Linked DNA regions of Cricetulus griseus. The protein of the gene in region 3 purifies or fractionates together with the protein of the main gene of each other region. This does not show direct contact. Links are inferred from orthologs where the notes say so. Each region holds a gene or a part of one and is shown on either strand. Other genes may lie near its edges. The genes, in order: histone H3.3A, Ubn1, Asf1a, Chaf1a, Cabin1, Tonsl and Hat1.

The links.
Region 1: the proteins of Asf1a (region 3) and histone H3.3A purify together in Homo sapiens (affinity purification with western blotting; 8 studies listed by BioGRID, with this or other methods). This does not show direct contact. The link is inferred for Cricetulus griseus from reciprocal best matches to the Homo sapiens genes ASF1A and H3-3A.
Region 2: the proteins of Asf1a (region 3) and Ubn1 purify together in Homo sapiens (affinity purification with mass spectrometry; 6 studies listed by BioGRID and IntAct, counting the BioPlex papers as one, with this or other methods). This does not show direct contact. The link is inferred for Cricetulus griseus from reciprocal best matches to the Homo sapiens genes ASF1A and UBN1.
Region 4: the proteins of Asf1a (region 3) and Chaf1a purify together in Homo sapiens (affinity purification with western blotting; 3 studies listed by BioGRID and IntAct, with this or other methods). This does not show direct contact. The link is inferred for Cricetulus griseus from reciprocal best matches to the Homo sapiens genes ASF1A and CHAF1A.
Region 5: the proteins of Asf1a (region 3) and Cabin1 purify together in Homo sapiens (affinity purification with mass spectrometry; 4 studies listed by BioGRID and IntAct, counting the BioPlex papers as one, with this or other methods). This does not show direct contact. The link is inferred for Cricetulus griseus from reciprocal best matches to the Homo sapiens genes ASF1A and CABIN1.
Region 6: the proteins of Asf1a (region 3) and Tonsl purify together in Homo sapiens (affinity purification with mass spectrometry; 4 studies listed by BioGRID and IntAct, counting the BioPlex papers as one, with this or other methods). This does not show direct contact. The link is inferred for Cricetulus griseus from reciprocal best matches to the Homo sapiens genes ASF1A and TONSL.
Region 7: the proteins of Asf1a (region 3) and Hat1 purify together in Homo sapiens (affinity purification with mass spectrometry; 4 studies listed by BioGRID and IntAct, counting the BioPlex papers as one, with this or other methods). This does not show direct contact. The link is inferred for Cricetulus griseus from reciprocal best matches to the Homo sapiens genes ASF1A and HAT1.

Annotation. Positions count from the first base shown.
Region 1 is NC_048598.1:13,474,756-13,478,701, reverse strand, and holds the start of histone H3.3A, read right to left. Parts: upstream 2,801-3,946; 5' UTR 2,656-2,800; intron 1,102-2,655; 5' UTR 1,079-1,101; coding exon 951-1,078; intron 1-950. UniProt on the Homo sapiens protein: Variant histone H3 which replaces conventional H3 in a wide range of nucleosomes in active genes. Constitutes the predominant form of histone H3 in non-dividing cells and is incorporated into chromatin independently of DNA synthesis.
Region 2 is NC_048600.1:41,616,859-41,620,358, forward strand, and holds part of Ubn1 (ubinuclein-1), read right to left. Parts: intron 2,388-3,500; coding exon 2,138-2,387; intron 1,906-2,137; coding exon 1,816-1,905; intron 1-1,815. UniProt on the Homo sapiens protein: Acts as a novel regulator of senescence. Involved in the formation of senescence-associated heterochromatin foci (SAHF), which represses expression of proliferation-promoting genes. Binds to proliferation-promoting genes.
Region 3 is NC_048595.1:255,440,030-255,443,986, forward strand, and holds the start of Asf1a (histone chaperone ASF1A), read right to left. Parts: upstream 2,801-3,957; 5' UTR 2,397-2,800; coding exon 2,288-2,396; intron 1-2,287. UniProt on the Homo sapiens protein: Histone chaperone that facilitates histone deposition and histone exchange and removal during nucleosome assembly and disassembly.
Region 4 is NC_048598.1:97,479,983-97,483,366, reverse strand, and holds the end of Chaf1a (chromatin assembly factor 1 subunit A), read left to right. Parts: intron 1-16; coding exon 17-468; intron 469-2,293; coding exon 2,294-2,416; 3' UTR 2,417-2,884; downstream 2,885-3,384. UniProt on the Homo sapiens protein: Acts as a component of the histone chaperone complex chromatin assembly factor 1 (CAF-1), which assembles histone octamers onto DNA during replication and repair.
Region 5 is NW_023276806.1:262,833,259-262,837,495, reverse strand, and holds the start of Cabin1 (calcineurin-binding protein cabin-1), read right to left. Parts: upstream 2,801-4,237; 5' UTR 2,490-2,800; intron 2,409-2,489; 5' UTR 2,258-2,408; exon of another isoform or gene 2,247-2,257; intron 1-2,246. UniProt on the Homo sapiens protein: May be required for replication-independent chromatin assembly. May serve as a negative regulator of T-cell receptor (TCR) signaling via inhibition of calcineurin. Inhibition of activated calcineurin is dependent on both PKC and calcium signals.
Region 6 is NC_048595.1:373,912,895-373,916,394, forward strand, and holds part of Tonsl (tonsoku-like protein), read right to left. Parts: intron 3,290-3,500; coding exon 3,164-3,289; intron 2,913-3,163; coding exon 2,726-2,912; intron 1,055-2,725; coding exon 972-1,054; intron 870-971; coding exon 780-869; intron 1-779. UniProt on the Homo sapiens protein: Component of the MMS22L-TONSL complex, a complex that promotes homologous recombination-mediated repair of double-strand breaks (DSBs) at stalled or collapsed replication forks.
Region 7 is NC_048599.1:103,798,461-103,802,604, forward strand, and holds the start of Hat1 (histone acetyltransferase type B catalytic subunit), read right to left. Parts: upstream 2,801-4,144; 5' UTR 2,658-2,800; coding exon 2,651-2,657; intron 1,021-2,650; coding exon 916-1,020; intron 1-915. UniProt on the Homo sapiens protein: Histone acetyltransferase that plays a role in different biological processes including cell cycle progression, glucose metabolism, histone production or DNA damage repair. Coordinates histone production and acetylation via H4 promoter binding.

The DNA.
Region 1 (3,946 bases), on a different chromosome or scaffold from region 3:
GGCAAGGATAGGTTAGAGTGAGCCCCGCCTTAAAAACAAACAAACAAACAAGACTTGGGAGCATATTCGAAGTTAGGCTGGCAATAAAGACATCTTCCCAGTTTAAGCAACACTTTCTGTTGCCCCATCTGTGCCTTAGGTTTTAAAGTCCTAAAAGAGTTACCAACATAATTTACAACGATTCACTTAAAACACTCGTATTTGATCTCCCAGTATTGTATCACCAGTCATGAATGACTGAATTTGAAAACTTGATTTCACATTGTTTCTCCCACATGAAAAATTTTCTAAAATTAAGTCATTGTCTATAATACTTTTTTTTTTTAACTTGGGAAGCTTTATTGGGGGAAGAGAGTGGGAAAGATAAGAGAGAAAACAAATCCTTTAACCCCTAAATTTGACTTATTTCAACTCTATGAGCTGTTCACTGTACAATCTGTCTATGCAAATTTGGGCAACTTATGCCCTCTAATGGCAGATGTCCTTAACAACAGTGCTTACATAAAAATAAAATGAGGGAGTAAAGGAGGGAAAAACCCAAGTAATTATGACCAAGAGACTTTCTTTACTAGTCTCCCTAAGGTACTACACTTTACCACAAGTGTGGGTCAACCAAAACAAAAAGTATGTGTAAAAACACAACCATTTTTATGTGCCTGTATACACATATGAAACCATTTCATACTTAAAATGCTAATGGTTAAAATGTTAATGTGTCCTACTACCAGTTGAGAACCGCGTCCCTTTAGAATTTAGATCAGATTACAACTTCAAAATGTTATCAATAAAGCCTGACACTAAGTTACATGTATTCATAAATGAACATATGCACGTGTATTTTCAAGCAGCAGTAAACATTCAGAAGGAAAACATCTTTCCCTCACCTTCCTGTTAAATTACATGGACATACTGTTTAGACACTGTCCTATTCCTCCCCCTTTTATAAATACCTGTAACGATGAGGTTTTTTCACCCCTCCAGTAGAGGGCGCACTCTTGCGAGCGGCTTTTGTAGCCAGTTGTTTCCTGGGTGCTTTACCACCGGTGGATTTGCGGGCAGTCTGCTTTGTACGAGCCATGGTAAGAGCACCTCCTTACTTACCTACCAGTATTAAAAAAAAAAAAATCATATTCAACTAAAACATACATTTTCTTGCCAGAAGCCACCCCCTAAAAAAAAAAAAAATCCCAGAAACCTATCATTACTGAGAAAAAAAAAAGGCTGTTATATAATTAATTTGAAAGGGCGCAGGTTAGGTCTACTACCCAAATACGACTTAAAACAAACCGGAAAATTGTCAGCATTAATACTCATAACGCCAATTCCAAGCGACAAACGGCCAAAACCAGCGAGACCACCCCAATGGGTTTTAATTCAATTTCTTTAATTAAAGTAGAAATTAGAAATGCCTGCAAGCATTCGATCACAAACAAGTCAAACGAAAGAAGCCACAAACCACAGAAAGGTCGAGTCAAATTACAGCCAAAAAAAAAAAAAAGAAAGAAAAAAAGAAAAAAGGTTCCAGCGTCCCCCCCCCGTTCGCGCCCCCCGCCTCGCGCTCGGCAGTTGGATTGCTGTAAATATCTGTAAACATTCTTGAGGTTTCTATCTTTACGGTTATGTTGACAAAAAGGCGTCTCGAAAGACAAGAACAACAGCTATTGCCAGCGAGCATTCCACAAAGCCCGTCCTCCCGGGCTTCGCTATGCCAGCCGACTGCCCCGCACCCAGTCTTAATTAGCGCTCGACACCGGCCGCCCGGCCCACCCCAGCACCACATAAACTTTTGCTTCTGCCTCCCCCGGGTCCCCGGGTCCCGGGTCCCCGACCTGCCCTGCCCGGCCCGGCCCGGGCGCCCCGTGCCGGCAGCGAACGACTCGGCTCCCCAAGGCTAGCACAAAATGGAAACAATTGCAAAATGTATCCGACTCCCTTCCAAAGACACAAACAGCAAACCCTTCGAAAAATACCCCATCCCCTGCCACGTGCCGCTCTCCCCCAAATGCAAAAGTTCTTTTTTTCGTTATTTCGAATTTCATATGCATCAAGTTTCCTTTTTTTTCCTCCAAAAAAGGCAAAAAAATAAAAAAAAAGGTGCTTAAGATTTTTTTCCTCCTTCCATTTTAAAATGGGGAAGAGAGAAACGGGGGGGAAAAGAAACATGGTCGGTGACCAGAGAAGAGAGACAAGATGGTGAAGCTCAGCCACAACTGTGGGGAGGCAGCAAAAAGCGAGTTCGCCCGGGGCGGGAAGCGACGGCGATTTTACCCATTTCGCGCCCGACAAACTGCGGCCCGGGACCCGCAGGCGGCAGTTGAGGGGCTCGCGCGGGACCTGGTGAAGGTCTGGGGTCCCGGGAAGGGGCGGCGGGCGGGATTTCACCGAAGAAAGGAGAGCCCGCGGCGCGGGAGGGCCAGCAGGCTCGGCAGGCGGCGCGGCGGGGCCGCCGCCGGGCTGAGGCGGAGACGGAGAGCTGCCGCCGCCGCCGCCGCCGCCGCCGCCCGAGGAGAGGGAAACTCGCTCCCCGTCTCCGTGTCTGCGCCAAAAAGTTTGAGGGTCGAGCCCGAGGGGCTGCGGGGGCCCTCCGCGGCCCGCTACGGCAGCGCCGGCGGACGGGGCCCGGCTCCGGGAGAGCGGGCGGACGGAGAAACTTACCCCCCTTCTCCTTCGGCTGGAGCTCGGCAAGCGAGAGGCGGCGCTGGCGTTAGAGAGCGGCGGCGGCGGCGGCGACGGCTGCGAACACAATTGAAAGATGGCTGACACCGAGGCTACCCCCACACACGCCGCCCCGCCCCGCGCCGCGCCAGCCAATCACACACAATGGAGGGAAGGCTCGGCCCCGCCCCGGGGCCCGCGCGCCCGCCCCCCGCCCCTCCCCCCGCGCGCCCGTTCGCTGGCGCGCGCGCTCGCTCCTCCTCCACCCCCGCCCCCCCACCCCGCGCGCCGCCCGCCCCCGGCTCCCGCCGCCTCTCGCGGTGTGTACAAACACAAAAGACACGCCGAGGGGCCGCGGGGCCCGCCGAGACGCCGCCCGCCCCCGGCCCGGCCCGCGCTCGCTTCCCTCCCCGCCCGGGGCCAGCGCCACGGGGAGCCCCCGGAGCCCCGGCTCCCGGGGGTGGGGGGGTGAGGGATAAGGGGGGGTACCGAGGGGGCCCGTGGGGGATGGGAGGGCGGGCCGCGGGCCAGCGCCCGGCCTGCGGGGGGAGGGGCGCCGCCCCCGCGCGCGTCCCCGAGGCGCCCGCCCGCGTGGGGCGGGGAGAAGGCCGCGGCCCCGCGGTCGCCGCGCCCGGTGGACGAGGCGCCCGAGCCGGAAGCCGGCGAGTGGAAGCCCGAGGCCCGCGCCCACTCTCGGGCCGCGCCCGTTGCGCGCGGCAGGGGCGGGGCCCCGCGGTTCGCTTCCCGCCTAGCGCGGGCGCGGGGCGCGGGCGCGTCCGAGGGCCGGGCCAAATCGCCTGAGGACAAGCCCGTCGCGGACTCTACCCGGGAGAGGCGGGGCGGCCACTGCCAGCGCTGCTTCCCCGACGGCGGCGGCGGCGACACCGCGCTCACCCGCTCCTGCCTGGGCCGCCGTTCTTGATGCAAGATGGCTGTGTGTTGTGAGCCTCGGGAACAATGTGCAGCACAGCTGTCGCTGCGCACGGCCCGGCTGCCGGTCCAGCCCGAGTGGGCCGCTCAGCGAGCGGCCTCACCCTCCTCGGAAGATCGCTGTGGAAGGAGACTGTGACATAGCAGCTTAAGGCTGTCGCTGTAAGAGGCTGAAAACGGCAGGTACTAAGGAAGAGCTGCCGCAGGGCTTGCCGTGTTTCCCGCTTTCCAGCACCGCTCGGTAGCTTGAGCAGCACGGCGCAGCTCAGGTTGTCATTAGCTGACCCCCAGACGGTAGGGACCAGGCTTCACAGCCCTGGGTGAGGGCTTTCGGTACAAGAGAGATCCCATAGGGTTGTGA
Region 2 (3,500 bases), on a different chromosome or scaffold from region 3:
CTGAGGAGCAATGTCTACAGAACAGAAATTCTGCAACATGACAAGGGCCACTGCAAGGCCTGATGACCACACAGAATCCAGACAATGTTCATTCTCTTAACATCAAAATGCACTCAGATACCAGAGGGACAAAGGCAAAAGCAACAGCATCAAGTCCATGTGGGAGAAAAGAAGGAAGAGCAGAAACAAGTCTCAGCTCCCTGCTAACCCATTTTGCATGGCTGCTCTTCTGATTGCCTACGATGTTTTTCCTTTTCCTCTCTGTGGTACTGGTAATAGACCTGGGGCTTTATATATGATAGGAAAATGCTTGACCACTGAACTACACCCCCAACCCTTCAGATAGCTTTGGAAGACCACGGGGAAAAACAGGAAAATAGTACAAAAAGTGTTTGATTCCCCTGCCCCCCCTCTATCCAGTCTCCCTCCTGCCTCTGTTGACTGAAAACTCCACAGACCCAGAGTCTGTTTCTACTCTTCAATTACTTTGTTTCTCTCAAAGAGAGCCATTTCCAAAGCAAGTGGAAGGTGGCACCATCTCACTTTCACACCACACAGGCTCTCAGTAGCTGAGGAGTCACCCACATTGCACTTAATTTAAGTGGCAGCCACCAGTGCAGAGAAAGTCCTCAGATGTGACTGCTTCTTCAGAGGAAAGGAGTGACAACTGACACTGGCTTTGCTCCTCAAAGAAACCTACAAACTCACCCTCATCCTAACAAGGTCTTTGATATTCACTACAGAGTTCTCAGCTTTTAAGACATGGCTTCAAGGAACACACAAGCAGATCACAAAGCACACAAGGAGCTGTGAGCCCAGACTGTCCATGAGCAGTCAAAGGCACACATAGCCCTCGAGTCTGCATCTGACTCCTGCCCTATACAAATCCCCATAATCCCTAAGCTCAGCCCTCCTCTCCCTAGTATAGGCCTGGGTTCTGTTTAGAACAGGTCTAAAGTGCTAAGAACACTAGGTCAAAATCAGTTTCTCATCAGGCCCCTAAGCCAAAATCCCAAGAGGTGCCTATATGCAAGAATCCAGGAATCAGGACAGAGTGAGACCAGTCCACTTACTACAAGATGGCTGCCTGTGGCAAATATTCCCCATTCTCATGCTCTCAAGCTGGCAATACATGTACCTAGGGCTTTTAGAGCTGCCTACTTCCAGAAGCACCATTCTGTCAGGAGACACTGGCTTCATTCCTGGTGTACTTCCAAATCTGTTTTAAAGGAAGGTTTTACACCAAGGTGGATTGCTTCATTCCTGGTGTGCTTCCAAATCTGTTTTAAAGGAAGGTTTACACCAGGGTAGATTGAAAACTGCTTCTCTTTTGGGTCCATACTAACTCTCTCATAGTCATGTATTATGTTCTCTTCCTGTTCTGTGGATATTTATTCCTTTCAAAGAGTATCTGCCACTTGACAATGCCTGGCAGGTGTGTAGTATTTCACCATGAAGGCCCTGAAGTACTTGGTTAACCTTTGGACAAGAGCCACCATTACCTTTCTTCTCTTTAAATGCACATTAAGAGTTGGAGCTCCTCTGTTTCATGTTCAGGCTCAACATATACTGTTATTATACAGGCTAAGTCAGACCTTATGGCCATTCAAAAAGGAAACCAGGAAAAGCCTCTGGTAGTACAGGGTTATATTATTCTGGAACCCAAAGCCAAAGAGCCAGAGCCTCAAAAGACAAAGCAAAATACAAAACAGTGAGGGTGAAGCAGAGATGACTAAAAGCGCTGGCAGCAAAGCACCTAAGGGTGAAGGGGTATGGCCCACAGGGCTCATGGCACACTGCCCACCTGGCATTTACCTGGCAGACTCTGTGGGACATGGGTGGACACAGCAGTATGTGGGAGAGGCGCTGTGTGGGGTGGGCTGGAGTGCAAGCCAGCCAGAAGACCTGAGAGAAAACAGGAGGGGAGAGAACAAAACACACACATTGAAGACAGAACAGAAAAGCAGCTTGGGAGATTCAGAGCCCCAGGCAACCTGTAGGCCAATCTGGAACAAACCAACAACACTGGGCACTAAGCAGCTTCCCAGGACAGGGGTGCTCCCACAGTTACACCAAACACATAGAGGATCCAACATGGCACACAACATAGAAACAGAGGCAGGAAACAAGAACTTACTGTGGCTGAGGCCATGATGGAAGGTCCCAGGGGCTGGGCCTGTAACAATGGCATCCTTAGAGACCCCTGCTTTGGCAGAGGAGTCTGAACTGAAGGAGAGCACGTGAAGTGGAAATGGGACAGAGGTTATGATTCCCAGTGAGTTTGAGTTCATAGCCCCCTGAAGCTTGGGGTTGCTGGGCTTGTAGGATGAAGACAGCAGGCTTAAGGAAGAAGTGTTGGACAGCAGCATTGCCCCTCCGGTTCCTTTCTGGAGAGAAAACACACACACACAATAAGAACCTCACTACTCAGCACTCAAAAGAATAATGGGGAAGTCTCTATGAGCCAGCATCTAGGGGCTTCTAGGGCACAGAGATAATTCCTAAAATAGCAAATATGTTTCTTTTATGAAGCAGAGAAGTAATATATTATGTATGAGCCCTGCAGTGGTAGCATACGCCTTTATTCCCAGCACTCAGGAGAGGCAGAGGCAGGGGGATATCCATGAGTTGAGGCTAGCCTGGTCTACAGAGTAAGTCCCAGGACAGTCAAGGATACACAGAGAAACCCTGTTTCAAAAAAAAAAAAAATCAAAAACAAAAAATATGTATGGTTACTATATATGTGTATATATATAGCATGTGTATATCCATAATGCACATACAAACTAATAGATATATAAACAGATTTATATACACTAATTTAAATTTATTATATAAATTTATGTAACACAAAAATGGGCAGGGATAGCTCAGTGAAGACCTTTGTGGTTTTATTTGTTGGTTTATTTGTCTGTTTTCTGGTTTCTTTGTGTAGCCCTGGCTGTCTTGGAACTTGCTCTGTAGACCAGGCTGTCCTAGAACTCAGAGATCTATCTACCTGCCTCTGCCTCCCAAGTGCTGGGATTAAAGGCATGCATGCACTACCATTGCCCAGCTGTTGGAGTTGTTAAAAATTAGCTATTCTTCCCTAGGGCCCCGGTTTGATTCCCATTGCCTATTATGATGGCTCACAATGGTCTTAACTACAGCTCCAAGAGATCCAACACCCTCTTCTGACCTCTGTGGGCACCCAGCATGCACATGGTAGACATGCAGACAAAACACTCACACACACACACACACACACACACACACACACAAAAAAAAAAAAAAAAAAAAAAAACAAGCAAAACACCCTCCCCAGAAGTTATCTTCATGACAAATTTAAAATCTAGAGGAGCCCTGAATCCCATCCAAAGCCTTCATAAACATGGACAAATGGCAAGTTTCTCATTTAAAAAGATCCAACTGAAAATGGTTCCCTATATATTTATGTTCATGTGAAAGTGAACACTTCCAACCAATCATTGGCTTCTTAAGTTAACTGAAAGCGTCACTGT
Region 3 (3,957 bases):
TGGAGGTCAGAGGACAACTGGTTGGAGTCAGTTGTCCCTCTACCATGTGGATTCCGGTGTCGATCTCAGGTAGTCAGGCTGAGTAGCTAGTAGCTTTACTGGCTGTGCCATCTATCTCACTGGCCTTTACATCCCACTTTTTAATGTGCTCTACTCTTAGAAGCCCAGTATAAGAAATAACTGTTTCAACCTTAGAGCAAATACTACTCAAGGCTTCTGAAGCAAAGCTACAGGGCAGCTTTTAAAGGAAAATTAAAATAGTTGAAGATGATTGATGAGCATAACAAATGGTGGCTAATCTGTAGGTTGGGGGTAGACCCAAATTATAGACTCAAAATTCCCTTCGAAGGATTTTGTAGTTTGATTTTAAGAATTAAAAAAAAAAAAAAATCACAGTACAACAGAAGTATGGAACCTAGAAAAGAGCTTTTGCAAAATAAGTCAACTCCATTTCCTTACTCCACACAGCCTCTAGATGGAGTACACAGAAATGGCACCTTTTTGAAAGATTCCTTTGCAGCTTTGGAATGACTCAGCTTAAAATATCCTAAAATAATGGTGCCCTGGTTTTGAAGGGTACTAGAGGTAAGGGTATTCTTGACATGAGAGTGATACCATTGATGTGAAAGGACCCCAGTTTAAAACGGAACCTCACTTGGTTTCTGTGGATGGCTGGTTTCGAACTATCCTGTAGAGCCACCCTATAACAATATCCTAGATCATGTCTTCCTTGCACAAAGTTGAATCCTAAAATGGAAGCCATCGCTTGAGAAATACCTGTAATATGAAGAACTTCTAATGCCTAGAACACACTGCTATTGGGATAGAATGGACTCACCCATGCTTTTTTCTTTATCTTTATATATAAATTGGCAGTTAAGAAGAAAAACCAATGTTGTGTTTGGAAATGGGTCTGGTGTGGAAATGCTTTTACTAATACTATCGGACAGTAACAAATGGAGTTTTAAGCAAAACTTACCCTCAACCTTACATCACCACAGCCTATTAGGAGACTACTATATTCTAATCATGAGTCATTCTTCAAAATATTTCCTACATACTAAATTTTTGTGCATTTATACTTTATATAAGTATTAAAAACAACAGAGGGGTACATTTTAAAGTGATGGTGTGGTTAGCTAAAAGAATGGGTGAAAGAGCTGTGACTTCCTTTTCCAACTTTTTAAAGTTTATTGCAACGGGCATATATTGGTTTTATAATTAAACTTAACATCCTACATAAAGTACACTGTGGGGATTTAAAACTTTTAAATGAAAAGAAAAATTCTTTCCGTCATGGTGAGGATAATACTCTTAAAGGCATTTTTACGAAATACTTCCAGGTCCCAAGATGTCCTCCTAACTAACTTAAATTAACACTGATGAAGTTATTACACTTTTTGTTTCAAATTTTGAAAATGAAGCACTGGTTTTACTAAAAGCCTAAGAAAACTGATGATAATCCCTCATTGTAGCTTTCTAAATCCTGTATTCCTTCACTATTTTGCATTTTTTTTAAACCGCAAAACGTACTTCAGAAAAGACTTTGGCTTTTATTCCCTAGCCAACGTCCGTATTTTCTCTATCCGCCTGGCCGTGGAGTTATTTTAATTGCATCTTCGTACGTTCTGGGGAAAGTCTTGGAGACTTTTTAGAAGCCAGTACCGGGAATTGTTGCAGCGCCCAGCTTTGGCTCTTGGGCAGGGTGGAACTTCCTAGCCCCGCACCGTTTCAGAGAGATTTCCGTCCTCCTGGAGAGGCGTCCACACTGCTGGGGAGCCTGCGCGCAGCATCCCGGGCGCCCGCCGGGAGCACCGCGGGGAGGACGACGGTCCCCGGGAGCCAGGCGCCGAGGGGCCGAGTCAGCGCCCGCCTTCCGCGCTGGTTGGTGGAGGGAGCCGGAGAGCGGCGCGAGGACAGCCCCGGCGGGAAGGCGCGGGCCCGCTCGCCCCCGGCGGCCCGGAGCAGGCGTCGTGCCGCCGGGTAAGATGGCTCCGCTCCCCGCCGGGCCGCGGGGCCCTGGGGCCGCCGAGGCCGCACGACCCCCGCCGGCGCCTCACGAGCCGGGGCCGCCCAGCGCCGCCCGCCACAGACAAAGCTGACAACATGGCTCCTCCGCCGGTAAGTTGCTCGCAAGTTGCGGTGCGGCCGGCGTCCCTCAACTTCAAGTTTCCCTCGCATGGCCGCCGCCCGGCCGCCCTCCCGCCGCCCGCGGCCCACCCCGCGCGAGGCCGGGCCGGGAAACTTTAACGTCCGCCGCCACAACTGACAGCCCGGCGCTGCTCACCTTCAGACAGGTCCTCGATGCACTCGAAGGTGATCTCGAACTGGAACGGGTTGTAGAAAGGCGACGGGTTATCCAGCACCACTACATTGTTCACCTGAACCTTTGCCATATTTTGAAGAAAACACAAACAATGGGGCCGGGGCTGGCGGCACCACAGAGTCCCGCGCGCGGCCGCTCGGAGAGCGCAGACCCCCGCCCCGGCGCGGCGCGGCCCGACGTCGTGCAGCGGCGACTTGAGAAACTTTTTTTTTCCCCCTTTTTATTTACACGGCAGCACTCCACAGTGTTTTGCAGCTTTCCTATTCCACTAAACTACAGCCCATTCTGCTCTGATAACTAGCAGCGTTGCGCGCGATTGGCTGCCCCCGAGCTCTGACCCTCCTCCTCCAGCGAGGGCCGTGGCGGCGAGCAAGATGGGCTCCCGCTCGCGGAACGGACGGGAAACTTTCACTGCGGCTCCACCTGCTGGTGTGGACCAGGACAAAGGCGCAGAACAAAGTGAGTGGAATAGGGGCTGGGAGGCCCGCGCGGAGGCCGCCGCCGGCGGGAGGGGGGAGGGGCGGCGCAGGCCCCGCCCCGCCCGCCGGGCCCGCGCCTCACGTCGGGCGTGGCCGCGGCGGGACGGAGGGGCGGGGCCGGAGAGGGGGCGGGCCGGCGGCCGTGGCGGGAGGGCGCGAGCTGGCCCCTCATGTGCGAAGCGTGGGCCTTTGGGTTTTCCGCTGTCCGCCCCGCCTTTAACGTCTGTTCTTCGGTGCGGCGGCTTTGCGGGCTCTGCTGAACGTAGCGGATAAGATGCGATTTTCTGCGCTCGTCAGGCCCAGCTGTGTGTGCTTCCTGTGATGGTAGGGAGTAGGAAGAAGGGCTGGTTGCAATGGAAGTACATTGCATCTCGTAGACCCGTGGCAGCTCGAAAGGAGCAAGCCATTTTGGAAGACAAGTTCTTGGCCACTTATCGACGTTTTGGCAATAGAAAATGAGGGCGGGGAAATCACACCACACACACATACACACACACACACACACACACACACACACACACGAGAGAACGAGAGAGAGAGAGAGAGAGAGAGAGAGAGAGAGAGAGAGAGAGAGAGAGAGAGAGACAGAGACCGGAAAACAAATCTAAATATACGATCTTTGGCTGCACCTTGGATTTCTTCCCATTTCAGACCTGAAATAGAATGAAAGGGGAGATAAGAGGAAAAGATGGGATCAGTCATGTTTCTGCCCTTTGGGGGAGCAGAGCAAGAAGTTAGAAGTCAAGAAAAGGGAAGTGTCAGGAGACCGAAGGACAACAAATTTATTACAATAGAGTTTGAGAAGGAGAAAACAAAGTATACCATGACATTTGGTCTTCAAGAAATTTATACCAACTATTCGTACATTAAAAATAGCATTACGAATTCTGAGGAGCCCTTCTATGCCTGTAATGCCTGTGAAACCATTTCAAGGCCAATTGAGGAAATGTTGCTTATTTATGCTACTGAGCTGCTATTGTGGAGGGGGAAACAGAAGCTTTTAACACCTTTGTGAAAGTAAACTGTTTCCTTTTACTAAATTGAGGTGTTACTCAATTTACTATTGTGTTTTCTCCCCTTTGGAATTAAACTACGAAACGTTATTAAATAAAATTCAGATTGAAAATTGCTTTTAAGTATTAATCTGCAGTT
Region 4 (3,384 bases), on a different chromosome or scaffold from region 3:
CTGTCTCATCCCACAGTCCTGGCCCAGCTGCTACCGCTGTTGCATGGCAACGTGAATGGAAGCAAGGTGATCATCCGAGAATTCCAAGAGCGATGCCGCCGTGGCCTGCTGAGCCCCACAAACGCCACTTCACACCCACAGACACCTAACTCAGAAGATACTGTGGTCGTGCCATCCAAGGCCAGGCTGAAGCGCCTCATCTCTGAGAACTCGGCCTATGAGAAGCGGCCTGACTTCCGTATGTGCTGGTATGTGCACCCACAAGTGCTCAGGCGCTTCGGCCAGGAGTGTCTGCCTGTGCCCTGCCAGTGGACCTACGTCACCGCTGTGCCCTCAACACCCAGGGAAGACAATGGCAATGCTTCCACCGAGGTGCCTGGCCAGGGCACACCCATGCCAATCAAGCGGAAGCCAGCAGCCACCATGTGCATTACACAGTTCATGAAGAAAAGGCGGTACGATGGACAGGTGAGCTACAGAGGGCATGGGCCTTGTTCACCTGTGTCTAGAGGAGAGCTTTGTGGCGCTGGTTCCCTCCCACCTTCATGTGGGTTTTGGGGGTGGAACTTGGGTTGCCAGGCTTGTGCAGCAATCACCTTTACCCACTGGGCCATCTTGCTGCCCTTCTACAATAGCTGCAGAGTTGCAGTAGCACTGAGCGGATGATTGCATTTGCACAGCAGTTGCCTCTACTGCTACATCTTACTCCTCATGGTGAAGTCACCCAGAGGCCGCCACAGTTGGCTGAGTTGTTGATTTTTAGTGACCCAGCCGTTATGATTCCATCACAGGTCACAGCCTGTGTCCCACTTGCCCTCCCACACTAGCAGCCATGTGTCTGTCCATGTCCCCAAATGTCATAATCAGGGTCACACAACAAGTAATCCCTTGGCCTGCTATGTTTAGTTCATTCTTGCTTGATAACTCCTTCTAACTCTGAATGGTACTTTGTGCACATGGATAGGTGAAGCACCATCTCCTGAGCTACATGGGCAAGCGTGTGATAGAGCATCAGAGCCCTGCCCACTGAAGCAGTGTCAGCGTTTTTTGTTGTTTGTTTGTTTTTCTTTGAGGTGTCCTTTCTGTCACTAGAAATCTAGCTCACTCACTACATGTTGACATCTCAGGTCCTCTTCTGCGATGTTAGAGGGCACGGGCTCTAAGTGTTGCCTGACACTGGCTACCACTGTGTATGGACACTCTTCTTGTCCTTCTCTTAATGATCTTTGCCGTACCCCACATGAACAGGGAGCAAGGCTCAAAGGCACACTTTGCTGTCAGCCTTAGCCCTGAGGAACCCCACAGAGCACAATGGTGGGCTTTTGTATTTTGTGACTGAAAGTGTTGCCTCCAGAAGGCACAGACCCAGCATGGTGCTCACACAGTGCCCTAGACTGCCTGGGTCTGTTCTTTAGCAGCCCAGTGTTCCATCAGACTCGCTAGATCTGCTTGTAAGGAGTGGAAGGAAGTCCAGCCTTCCCAGGTGTCTGGCCACCTTGGGGAGGGGCAGCTATGCTCTTGAATGTTCTGTGTTCAGTCATTTAGAATGCAGAGTAGTTCAGCTTTTAGCTGGAGCTGTGATCACATCAGACTACTGTGCATCACTGGGCCCAGAGTGCCCCAGTCTTTGAGACTTGGTTTTCCCTGTTTTAAGGATTTATCATGTTTTTGTGGGTAGGTCTGCATGTGAGCACAGTATCCATAGAATCTCCCAGAGGACATCAGATGATCTATCTGCAGCTGGGGTTAAAAGCATTTGCGAACAGCCATATGGGTGCTGGGAACCAATTCACGTCCCTTGCTAGAGGAGCCAGGGCTCTTAGCCACTGAGCAACCCAGGCTACCTTCAACTCTTTATCCTCCTGCCTCAGTCTACACAATACCATGCATGGATGTAGGCAGACATCTGTACAAGAGGCATTCAGACTTGTAGAGAAGCAGCTGCCTTCCCCCTGTCAAAGGCCAGTGGGCTGTTTCCTCACCATGTGGGGTCAACCTGGCTACATCTGTCTTTTCCCCAGAAGCCCATGAACTGGCCAGGGATCCTCACAGCTGCAGGAAGCTCCAAGTCTTAGCCACCAGGAGAAAGAAATGCCAAGAGAGTAGGTGTTCCATTGGTTCTTTGAAACCAAAGTTGAGAAGCCAAGCCACTCAGGTTGCTCTGGGATGCTGCTGTTGGCAGCTTTTAGACGGGTGTGTGGCTCACCTTAGCAGAGTGCTTGTAGCCATAGGCCCCAAGCCATTTTGTTGGGGAGTGGATGGTCAAGATGCTGACAGGCTGTATTTTGTGCAGGTTGGCTCTGGGGACATGGATGGCTTCCAGGTAGACACAGAAGAGGACGAGGATGACGATACAGACTGTGTGATCGTGGATGTGTCAGAGGCTCCCATGCCTGCACCCACACCTTGCAAATGACAGATGTCAAGTTGAAACTCCTGGGGAAAAGTGACCTGGGCTGCAGGGAGTGGAGTGCAGGCGCCTGGAGTGCAAGGCTGGTATATGGCATGGCCTGGGCAGTGGTGGCCATGCCTCCCCTCAGCCTTGTAGAGCTGCTGAGGGAGGTGGGGATGGGCACTAGCAACAGCCTGCTATGTGGCACTTGAGCAGCCACCACCAGACTCGCCTCCTGCTGACTCCCATGTAAAGAGCACTTTGTCCGACACCCCAGGGTGTGGAGTCTAGAGGAGGCCTGAGCAGTTACTTCCAGACTGTAAAGCCCCCAGGGCTATGTGCTGATCTACCCTTCTTAGTTAAGCATTATCGACAGCTGATTGACAGGTGCCTGCTGTGGTCAAACACCTGCTAATGAATTGTACCAGGGACACTGAGGCTGCTATGCAGGCCCTGGGCAAACATGAACGTGTATAAACATACTCTACCTGAGCCTGTCTTGTCATGACTATCATGTTACACTGGTGTGTCCTTCCACTTGTACCCTGCAAAGGTCATGGGCCCAGCCAGAGCATGGTTAGGATGTCCCCAGCAAGATGAATGTGTCCCTTGAAAGGGGGCCCCTAGTGTCATCTTCCCCAAGGGAAGTGCCATGCCTGGCCTGTTCTGCCCCAATCCCCAGCATGTGCACTTTGCTGATGCCCTTGTTCTACCAGCGCCTCAAGAGTCTGCTTAGCCTGGACCTGGTTTGCTGTAGGATTTCCACTGTCATGGTTGCTGCCTTGTGTGGCTTTGATGAAGACACCAGGAGGCTGGGTTTAAATAGCCTGTTTATTTGGGTTCATAACTTAGGAATTACAGTTCCATGCTGCAAGGCACCTGCTTTCTGCTGTCTCCAGCACAGGTATGGGGCAGGCTGCTTCCATCCATAGTCTGTGAGGCCTGTGCCCATGCTGCAGACCCGCTCTGCCACCTGTGCTGGGCTCCCAGAG
Region 5 (4,237 bases), on a different chromosome or scaffold from region 3:
CAGAAAGGACATCAGATCCCCTGAGACTGGAGTTACAGGCAGCTGTTTGCTGCTATGTATGTGATGGGAAATCTAATCTGGGTTTTCTGGAAGATAGCCAATGCTCTTAACCTTTGAGGAATCTCTCTGGCCCCAATAATCATTTTAATTTAAAAGGGGAGGAGGATGAAAGGCAAGGACCAACACCCAAGGTTGTCCTCTAGGCTTCACATCTTTACTATAGCAAGTACACACACACACACACACACACACACACACACACACACACACACACACACACACTTTCCATAAACATTCTTAAAACCAAGATAGTTCTGAACAAAGCCTGTAACTAAGGGAGAAGACGACTCCGTTGATAAAGTGGCTGCTGTGCAAACATGAGGCCCTCAGCTCACAGCCCCTGGCTGCATCTACAAGTCTAGAACTAGGGAACAAAGACGAAGATCCCTGGAGCTCTATGGCCAGCCAACTACTGACAAGTTCCAAGTTTAGTGAGAAAAGTAACAAAAAAACTTCTAGGTAAGCTTTGTTGACACCCATGGGAAGCCTGCCCTTTCTGAATAGAAACAGGAGGAGTGGAGGGGGGGGAGGGTCAGGAGGAGAGGAGAGAGGGGAAACTATGGTTGGGATGTAAAATAAATGAAAAAATTAATTAAAAAAGTAAATCAAACTAAAATAAATATAACAAAATATAAAAGTGAAAACATGATTAAAGCATGTTAAAAGTCATACAATTATGTCCATAAAGAGACAGCGTAGCACTTAAAAGCACTGGCAGCCCTTGCTGAGAACCCAGGTTCAGCTCATATATCGGGGCTCACAACCACCTGTAACCCAGTTCTAGGGATCCAGTGCCCTCTTCTGGCCTCTCCAGGTACTGTATGCTCATAATGCAGATACAGACAAGCAGCTACACACAGATGTCTTAAAACAAATTAACTTTTTTAGATTAAAAACACCTAACAAAATTCAATACCTATGAACAAGAAAAACACTTGAAGAAAATGGGAACTGAAGGAGAGCTTCTTGTCATGATAAGATATAAATACCTTGGTCCTAAAGCCAAAATAGTATTTAATGGAGAAACGTTACAAACAGGAATAAAGCAGGATGGCCACCATCTCTGCTACTACTCACTATTGCATTAGGATGACCAGCCAACAATGAGAACAGGAAAAGCACACTGAGGTTTAAGAATGGGTATGAAAATGCCGGGCTTCGGTGGCGCACGCCTTTAATCCCAGCACTCGGGAGGCAGAGGCAGGAGGATCTCTGTGAGTTCAAGACCAGCCTGGTCTACAAGAGCTAGTTCCAGGACAGCCTCCAAAGCCACAGAGAAACCCTGTCTGCCCCAGGGGAACATCGGAAGACAGAGGGACAGAGGCAAAGAGCTTAGGTGGGCGTAGATCTTCCTTTTAAAGGTGTCCTTTGCACCTGGGATGACCAGGGTACTGCCTGAATGCATTCTGCCAGGTGATGTGCAGACCAGCATAATGCCTGAATCCTTACATCGGGAGGCAGAGGTAGATGGATTTGAGTTCAAGGCCAGCTTGGTTGACAGAATGAGTTCTAGATCGGCCAGGGCTACACAGAGAAAACTTGCTTTGAAAAAAAAATACAAACGGCGAGGCGTTGGTGGTGCACGCCTTTAATCCCAGCACTGGAGAGGCAGAGCCAGGTGGCTCTCTGTGAGTTTGAGACCAGCCTACAAGAACTACAAGAACTAGTTCCAGGACAGCCTCCAAAGCCATAGGGAAACCCTGTCTCGAAAAACCCAAAAACAAACAAACAAACCTAAAAATATTTAAAATTAAAAAAAAAATAATTAAAGCCATCTAAAGATTAATATAAAAATCGATGCATACAACCATAAACTATGACGGTACAGTTTCCATGGCCCAATGTCGTATGATAAAGAACTTAAGCTCCTCAGCACTGTCACCCAGTGATAACACATGGCGGGGCCTAATGAGGTCTAGAAGGCTGGCAATCTTTGGGGGCGGGGGAAGCTCGAGACAGGGTCTCACTATGTGGCTCTAGCCGTCCTGGAACTCGCTATGTAGACTAGGTTTGCCTTTGCACTCACAGGCATCCAGAGTATAGCCACCCTAATCTAAAACAGGGCTAAAAGTATTGCCATTCTTACTAAATCTACATGTTACGACTACATATCAACACATTGGCTAGGGTTCGCCAGCTCCGGCAGGAGACCGTTCCAAATTCTGTTTCTAAACATCCACACTCACGTCCTACTAACAAGTCAAGTCTTGGGGAGTTCAGCAGCCTCCGGAACCCACAGGTGCGGACACCGGGAGTGCCTGCCAGGTGAGGTCCATCCGTCCACCGGCCACCGCCGGGGAGGCTGTCAGCGGAAGGGTTTGCAGCGGGGTGTAAAGCCGCTGCTGTAACTTCAAAAAAAAAAAAAAAAAACACTGTGAAAAAAACCTTCCCTCGGCCTCCGTCTCCACCCGCGTAGACCCCGCACTCACCTCGCCGGGCGGCCGTGAAGGTGAACGAAAGGACGCACACAGACGGGTGGCTTCGCGCCGCGGTCACAGTGACCCACCCGGGGCACCTCGGGGCGGCGGCGACGGCGGGAGTCGCGCGGAGGAGCCGGCATGGGCAGAAGGCCCGGGCGGGTCTCGGGTCTGGCTTCGGCCCCGCGGCTGTCGGGGATGCGGAGAGCCGCGGCCTTGTCGCGTGGTTCCGCCTCCTCGCGCTCACCGCAGCTGGGCGCGCATCCCGGGGCCACCCGCAAACCCTACTCCCCGGAACTCGCCCGGCGTCTCCACGGCAACCGCCGGAGCACCCAGACTCCCCTGCGCCGCGCGCTCAACAAGGAACGCTCTCGTTGGCTGGAGTGCCGGCTGTGTCGGCCAATCGACGCGAGCGCTCGCGCCTCCTGGCCGTCTGAGCGGATTGGCCGGCGCCCTGCGCGCTGTGTCTCTGTGATCCCCGCAGATCACAGAGTTGGGGGGGCCCGCTGCTGTTACGGTTCAAGAGTCCTGAGCTCTTGCAGGACTCAACAGATTTTTTTAATGAATATTTTTAATATTTTTTATTTATTTATTTATTTATTTATTTATTTATTTATTTATTATGTACACAGTGTTCTGTCTGCATGTATGCCTGCAGGCCAGAAGAGGACACCAGATCTCATTATAGATGGTTGTGAGCCACCGCGTGGTTGCTGGGAATTGAACTCAGGACCTCTGGAAGAGCGGCCAGTGCTCTTAACCTCTGAGCCATCTCGCCAGCCCTCAACAGATTATTTTTCATTTAATTTATGTGCACTGGCATGAAGGTGTCAGATCCCCCTGGAACTGGAGTTACAGACAGTTGTGAGCTGCCATGTGGGTGCTGGGAATTAAACCCGGGACCTCGGGAAGAGTAAGTAGTCTGTGCTCTTAACCGCTGAACCATCTCTCTAGCCCCCAGTTTTGTTCTTTTACTTAAGATAGTGTCTCACACCACAGTCTGAGCTACCCTCGAACTTGTGGCAGCCCTCTTTCTTCGGTCTCCGGGCTACTGGGGTTACTGGTTGATCCCACCACATATTCCTTGATGGACTACAACTGTAACGTATAAGGTGAAATAAACTCTTTAATCTCCATTTTGTTTTTTGTTATTTTTTTTAATCACAGCAATAGAAAAGCAAACTGAGACACCTTCCAAAAGTTAGATGAGGGTGTAACAATGGCCAGGAAGAGGAGACTTTCATGTCAGTCAAGTTGCCTGCACGTTGTTCACCGAGCTCTGGATATGCAGCTTTTTGAGTGGTCACCCACACTGGGTAGGCTTTTCAGTGTTGCATCTGCGTTTGAGTCGCTCACGTTCTGTAAGTAAACTCCCACCCACATTCATTGTAAGGAACTTTCTTTGCTCTGTCATTAGTTCAGGGCGAAGAGACATCTTTTAATATCTCCCCAGGAAAAGTCACATCAGGTCTGTAAATATTAGCATTCAACCTGCAAACATCTCTTGAGCTACTTTAGCAATCAGGGTACCTTGGCCAGAAGAACTGAGTGCAAAAACAACTGGACAGTGAAACAGGAGGAACTCCACGTCTACATTTTGGGAAAGGCTTCAGTAGTGCTCAAATTAAAGCAGCAGGGACAGGAAGACTATTTGGCAACTATGTTTACTCCACAGAACAAGATTCTCAATTTGATGTTTTATTGGCACACACTAATAATACAGATCATTTAATGTCTGTTCAGGAAAACAGCACTGAGTT
Region 6 (3,500 bases), about 120 Mb from region 3:
GAAATTTGTGACTTGATGGCTGGAGACCTGTGCCAGAACCTAGAGTGGACCTCAAAGGTCGATTTCTTTTTTGTTTTTTGAGACAGGGTTTCTTTGTAGTTTTGGAGCCTATCCTGGCACTCGCTCTTGTAGACCAGGCTGGTCTCAAACTCACAGAGATCCTCCTGCCTCTGCTTCCTGAGTGCTGGGATTAAAGGCGTGCACCAGCACCGCCCGGTCTACTTCTTGGTATAGCTCTCTCTCTCCCTCTTTAGGTATTACGAAAGAAAATGAGGATGTGTCCTGCCCTTCCCAGTGCCTCAATGGTTAAACTTCTCTCTCTCTCTCTCTCTCTCTCTCTCTCTCTCTCTCTCTTTCTGTTTTTGACACAGGGTTTCTCTGTGGCTTTGGAGGCTGTCCTGGAACTAGATCTTGTAGACCAGGCTGGTCTCGAACTCACAGAGATCCACCTGCCTCTGCTTCCCGAGTGCTGGGATTAAAGGCGTGTGCTACCAATACCCGGCTATGGCTACACTATTATAGTAGACTCTTGGGCCATGTGCCATCCTGTGCCTTGGTACAGATAGTGCCTGACTACAGGGCTTGCAATGGGAGGGAGGATGCCAGAGGTCTCAGTCTGTTGGCCATTCTTGTCCTGGGTTGGCCAGCCCATTCACCCACAGCAGGGATGCCACATAGGTACTTAGCATCTTGTCTATTTCTAAAAACAAGCAATAAAGGAGATCCTGTCTGGGCTCACAGCTCCCTCATCTGTGATCTCTCTAGGGATTTTGGCCCACCTGCCTCACAAGATCCTGGACGCGGCGCAGTTGGCCTTCGATGCAGGCTCGGTGCAGCAGGGTCTCTCCCATGTCATTGCGCCTGTTCCACTGTAAGAGTAATTGCCCCGATATGGGGCAGAAGTGTGAGGGGCAGGAGTATTGCTGGGTACAGGGCTGCTGGACAACAGGGAGGTTAGGATATGTCCTCACCTTGTTTGCCTTCCGCCGGCCCAGACAGCTCTGAAGTTCCTCATCTTCCTCCAGCTTCTGAGACAGGCTGTCACCGTCATCCTCTACAAGAACAAGTCCACTGACCCTTAGCCCGTAGCATACCATCTCCTCCGACCTCAGGGGCAGAGCAGCCAGGGGCAGAGCAGCCAGGGGCAGAGCAGCCAGGGGCAGGAAGGTAGAAGTCTGGGGTTTGTGAGCTCTGGAGCCAGGTAAAGCAAAGCTAACTCCCAGCCCAGCCCAACTCCACCAACACCCCGCTTCTGTTTATATATTATTTGTTTGTTTATTGATTTATGGTTTTTCAAGACAGGGTTACTCATGTGTAGCCCTGGCTGTCCTGGAACTCAGAGATCCTCCTGCCTCTGCCTCCTGAGTGCTGAGATTAGAGGTGTGCACCACCTCTGTGGAAGCCCCACTTCTTTCTTTTTTTTTTTTAAGATTTTATTTATTTATTATGTATACAACATTCTGCTTCCATGTATATCTGCACACCAGAAGAGGGCACCAGATCTCATAACAGATGGCTGTGAGCCACCATGTGGTTGCTGGGAATTGAACTCAGGACCTCTGGGAGAACAGTCAGTGCTCTTAACCTCTGAGCCATCTCTCCAGCCCGGAAGCCCACTTCTATCTCACTACTCCACTACACACAGGGGCTGAAGAAAGGGAGTTGCCCATCATCAGAGGAACTGTTCACTCAACTCCTGTCCATGTGGGCGGGCCTAAAACCAGACTGCCCTGCAGATCAGTCTCATTTACAGACTTTCTGAGGAAGTACCCTTATCAGCGTAAGTCACCTACTCAGGCCTGCTGCCTTGTGTGGTACTGGCCTCTTGGTCTCCCCTTTACTAGTGATTCTTGCCAGATTGTCCTCACTAAGTCTTCTGCTCCCTCCTGGCATTCTCTGGCCCTTTCTATAACTCTTTTCTTCTCTGCCCCTATCTTGTGGCTGTGGCTACCAGCTGAATGACACTCCCTAAGTTAAAGTATTTGGTCTCTCTTCTTATTCAGAACACCTAAATACCAATATTCAACCTGACTTATCTTCTAAGACATGGCCCAACTTCCCAGGTACTGAGGCTCTAGCCCTGTAAGTTCACACCTAAAGTCAAGATTTTTCTAGAAATCGAATCTACAAACCACCCATCTGGAAATCAGCCCTCAGCTCCAGGGACCCCTTCCTGCCTTGTCCCACATAGCCAAGATGCTTTCATTCCTAGCACTGACCAGACCCCTCAGCACACTGGCCTTGAGTTCTGGGAGCATGCTACAGCCATGGATCACTTCCAACACTGCTGGAAAGAGTCTCATGTGAGGGGGCAGCACAGTATGGGGCCTCAATCATAGTCTACCACCCATGAAGCCATCCATGACACAGCATCTCACCTCCCCTAGACACATGCCTCTACTAGGACCATTTTCCTAGACTTAGACCCCAAACATCCCTTCCTATCTGATGCTCACTCTGCCTCTGACCAGTGATTTCCTCAGAGAGCTTCTGATTACTATGCCCCATGTTCTACATGAGCTGCCAGCGCCCTCCAGTCACCTCCACAGAAGCGCTGGTTGCCCTCCCTACCTGCAGCTGTTTTACCCACTTGAGTCCTCAGCAGGATCCATGTAGACACATCTCCAATACACACCAGTCCACCCCAGGCATCATCTTAGAGCAGAACCAGGCGGAAAAGGCATGTGCAGCCCACCCAGCATGCAAAGCAGCATTTGGCCCTCACCACTCTCTGAGAGTTCTAGTTCACTGGTCTCCAGGGCCTCACTGGCTTCTTCTTCCTCTTCTTCCTCCTCCTCCTCTTCCTCTGTGTCTTTTGCCATACTCAGTTCCTGCAGTTTTGTTTCAGTGTCGGGGGCTTCTTGGGGCTGCAACTTTAGTTGCACGGCATGAAGGTGCTGTAAGATCTGCCTCTGAGGGATGGAGATGTTCAGTTTAGGAACAAGCAGGACTACAGAGAGCAAGTAATGCAAGAAAAGATAGGCTTGAGGTGGGAGGATTTTAAGTTCAAGGCCAGCTTTGAGACCCTGTCTCAAAATGAAAATACAAAAAGGGCTGGGGATATATAGGTTATAAGTAAGGTCTGGTTCAAAAGCCAGAAAAAAGAAAAAAAAAGAGCTGGATTTATTTGTGGATGCACTGTTGGTGGGGTGGGCCCTTCTACCTGTAGCTGGAAGCGCTGGGCCTTCTGGGCGCAGCTAAAAGCCTTCTGGAAGCATGGCGCTAGCAGCTCATATGCGTCACCAGCTTCCTCTCGTGACAGTGCAATATTGAACCAAGTGTTAGCCTCCTGGAGCAGAAAAAGAAACGCAAGGTTGGTGGCTGCCTAGCTAGCATATCCAGCTGACCAGCCACAAGTTGGCTTCCCTCAGCTCGTCATATGAAATTGGAAGACGTGCTTTGTCCCTGTCCCATCTCCACGATAGCCCTTGGAAGGAACAGCTTTTCCAGGGGAAAAGCATCCTCTCACACCCACCACCTGAGAATGGTGAGCTCAAGGT
Region 7 (4,144 bases), on a different chromosome or scaffold from region 3:
AAAGATGAGTACTATTAACTACATTTTAGAGATAAGGAAACTGAGGTATGGAAATCAATGTAACCAGGATTCACTAATGTGTATTTATTTTTTCTACTTAAGCATGTGATTTTAGTAAACTTAGTTTAGGCACAAACTAATTTTGAAACATTTCTACTTTGCACAAAAAAATTCCATGAGTACTCTGTTCCTACATTTAGTCTGGGGTAATGATTTTCTATTGTTGGTCTTTATGGATTTATGGATATCTTTTCTGAACATTTCATACAAATGGAATTATACACTATGGTTGACTTTTCCTGGCTTCTTTTACTAATCATATTCTAAGGTTTCTCCACAATGTGAAAGGTATCAGGAGTTCATTCCTTTTTACTATCAGATAGTATTCCACTGAATAGCTATAGCATACTTTATCTGTTTACCAACTGGTGTTTTATCGTGAGTTGTTTACACCATTTGATCATTGTGAATACACATGTGTTTTTAGATGAACAATATCTTCATTTCTCTTCATTTCTCTTGAACAGACATCTAATAGAACTGCTGGCTCATATATGTAATTTATGCTTTTTTGTCTTTTAAAGATCTAGCAAGCTTAAGTTATTTTATTTTAGATACTCACCACTAATACATGATTTTTCCCCACATCCTCACCAACACCAGTTACTGCCTATCATATTCAAAAGCAAGAAAGTAAATTTCTTTAAGAAGCTGAGATTACACATACCTGTGACTTTTTGCCACAGTATCTTTCCCATGTGTTAAACTGCTGTCTTCCACCTACCCATTCCACAGCATAAACTCAATGTTCACAAATGCAGGAAATACCAGTTATATAATTATTCTTAAAATAAAATTTTATTTCAAATTTTAAAAGGCCATGTTATATAAATCATTCTGAAATTACATACGTACCTAATTTCAGTTCGATCGCTGTATTGGTGTTACATTTGTACTCGGCCAATTTCTTCTCCACTGCACTCTTATATTCCACCAGAAATTTCTCCATTGCACCAAATCCTAGAAGAAGTTTTGAAAGGTTGGTTAGAAGTGATTTAAATACCTACAAGCAGGATTTTTATTTGAAGTAGGCTAAGGATAAGATGGAAAACATACATGCTACAACAGTACAGGTCTCTCTCCATGAACCCTTCAATAAATACACTGCATAAGTATGCCTCATAAGGGGGCTGGAGAGATGGCTCAGCGGTTAAGAGCACCGACTGCCCTTCCAGAGGTCCTGAGTTCAATTCCCAGCAACCACATGGTGGCTCACAACCATCCGTTATAAGATATGGTGCCCTCTTCTGGTGTGCAGATATACATGGAAGCAGAATGTTGTATACAAATAAATAAAATCTTTAAAAAAAAGAAAAGAAAGAGGAAAAAGAATGCCTCATAAAACAGAAGATAAAACCACTCTTGAGCCAGGCCTGTAATTCATGCAGGAGGCTATGACAGCACTGAGCTGGAGCCAGTGTACCCTGCATGATGGTAACAAAACTCATTTCAAGAAACCGGTTATAGAAATCACCTTTAAGTATGTACTGCTTCAGCCCTCATTCAATAACTCAGGCTAAGGAAGAGGGTTAATTGTAGGGCTCAAGTTCGAATTTTTGATGTAATTTTCATTATACAGTAACTCTTTTATGGTAACAGGGTAATCCAATATCCTACTAGACAACTTCGTTTCTTAAACACAAGCAAATTTCAAACTACACAGTTTGGTAATCCAGCCCACCTGTAAAAGTGGAGCGAGTTTAACCCGTAGTGATGGTGACTCAATGTGAAGGACTAGGGGATAATTACAAAAGAAAATACCCACCACTTCAAAAGAAAATACATCAAAACAGTTCAATAGCAATTTACTTTTGTTCGAGACAGGGTTGCACCGAGTAGCCCTGGCTGTTCTGGAAATCATTCTGTAGACCAGGCTGGCCTCAAACTCACAGAGTTCTTCCTGCCTCTGCCTCCTGAGTATTGGGATCAAAGGAGTGCACCACCAGGGCCCGGCAATTTAAACATTCTTAAACACCGAAGACTAGAAGACTCAAATGAAACCAGAATAAGAGAATACCAACTACTACATACAGTACACAAGTCCCACTCTAAAATAGAAGTTCGGCAGTGCAGAAACGTCTTTCTCAAAAGACATCTAAAAATTATCTCAATAATCCTGCAGGGTTAACAGACCCAGAGTGTGCCCGGGAACAGGTCAGCGCAGCACTGCGCTCGCACAGAAGCTGGCCGTGGGGAAGGTGGGCAGGGCCCTGGGAGCATCAGCTGGCGGGAAATGAACCCGATGACTACATTAGGGCAGCAGCGGGCAAAATGAAAGAGAAAAACAGGCCCCGATGCTGACCACGCTTCACCAGACGAAATCGCACGCTCTGCCCCGGGCGCGCCTACCCTCCTCGGCAGGGCCCGGTGGCCCACGGAAGGCGCGGAGCGCAAGCACTGGGGGCGGCGGCACCGAGCGCGGCCCACCGGGAGGCAGCCTCCGACGCTCGGTGCCTCGCGGCAGGGAGAGGCCTTCTGGAACTTCGGCTAGAGCTCGAAAGTTCCAGTCGGCCACTGTCACAGCCGCCTCGACGTTCTTCCCCAGAACCACCCGCCTCCTCCCCTTGCTAAACTTTTCCCGGGAACTTACCCGCCATTTCCGAGCTGTGAGGGCCCGCGGCTGAGGAAGGACAAATCAACCCGCGCGCTCCCGGACCGGAAATGAGCGCAATGATGACGCATTTCCCCCGCCCAACCTCGGGGAGGCACGAGCCAATGAGAGGAGGTAGTTCTGGGAGCGCGGGGACGGAAGTGCTCAGGAGGCGGGGCTAGTACCGTGAGAAGGCGCGAGCGGTTGCCTAGCCACCGCGAGGGCGTACATCCCTGCTGCTGGTCTTCCGCGCGCAGCCCCGCGCAGCTTGTTGGCTGCTAGAGATTTTCATGGGAATTAACGCTAACTCTCAGACAGCCTACGGCGGTTTTTCCCTCTCCCTCGCAGAGGCTGAAAATCCCTCCCTTTGACACGTTTCACTCCGAAGTTTTGGTTTGGTTTGGGTTTTTTGAGACAGGGTTTCTCTGTGGCTTTGGAGGCTGTCCTGGAACTCGCTCTGTAGACGAGGCTGGTCTCGAACTCACAGGAATCCGCCTGCCTCTGCCTCCCGAGTGCTGGGATTAAAGGCGTGCGCCACCACGGCCCGGCTCATTCGAAGTTTTAAATTTTTTACTTGTCTCTATTTTTGCCATAACCCATTTTAAATCGTTTTCTCTGTATTGTATTCGTATTTTGGAACTGGGTGTCCAGCCCAGAGTCATGCTTACGCTGGGCAAAACACTTTGCCACTGGTCCATAATAAACTTCATGATTTCAATATGATAAACAGTGTCATATTAAAGAACTCAGAGTGGGAGGTAGTGGCATACTCCTTTAAACCTAGCACTTGGGAGCCAGAGGCAGGCCTGTTTCTGTGAGTTCCAGGCGTGCCGGATCTACAAAGCAAGTTCCAGAACAGCCAGGGCTACACAAAGAAACCCTGTCTCAAAGAAACAAAACAACAACAAAAAGATTTATTATCTTGGCTTATATTGTACAATTGAAGAGGTTATATCACTGTAAAGGCCAGGAACCTGGTAGTTACCAGTCCACTGACCCAGGACCCTCAGCCTCTGGAGACCTGAGTATCTGGAGAATTGGGTTCTTCCAGAGACTGTAGACAACTGAAGAGGAACTTGGCAATTTCCTTTCCTGGGGCTGATTCTCTTTTTTTCCCTTTCTTCCTTGCCCACTCCCTTTCTTTTTTGGTTTTCACAGAAGGGAGGCCTCTCTTCCTGATCTGTCCTTAGGTTGTAAATCGTGACCCTCTCTCCTCTTAAGTTATGTGCTCCTTGTGTTAGTCAACTTTTCTAGAGGAATCGTACCAACAGAATTTATTTTTAAAAAATTATAAAAGAGGACTGTGCTGGGGAGATTTATGTCAACTTGACACAAGCTGAAGTTATCTGAAGAGTGTTTTGACATCAGACATGGAGATGCAGAGGTTGGGGTTTGCCCAGTTACTTCTCTGTCTTGCTTTGGTCCAGTATTTCCTCACTGTGCTCCCTTCCTGACCTTTTGGAATGGTCATATATATCCTTGCCATTATATGTT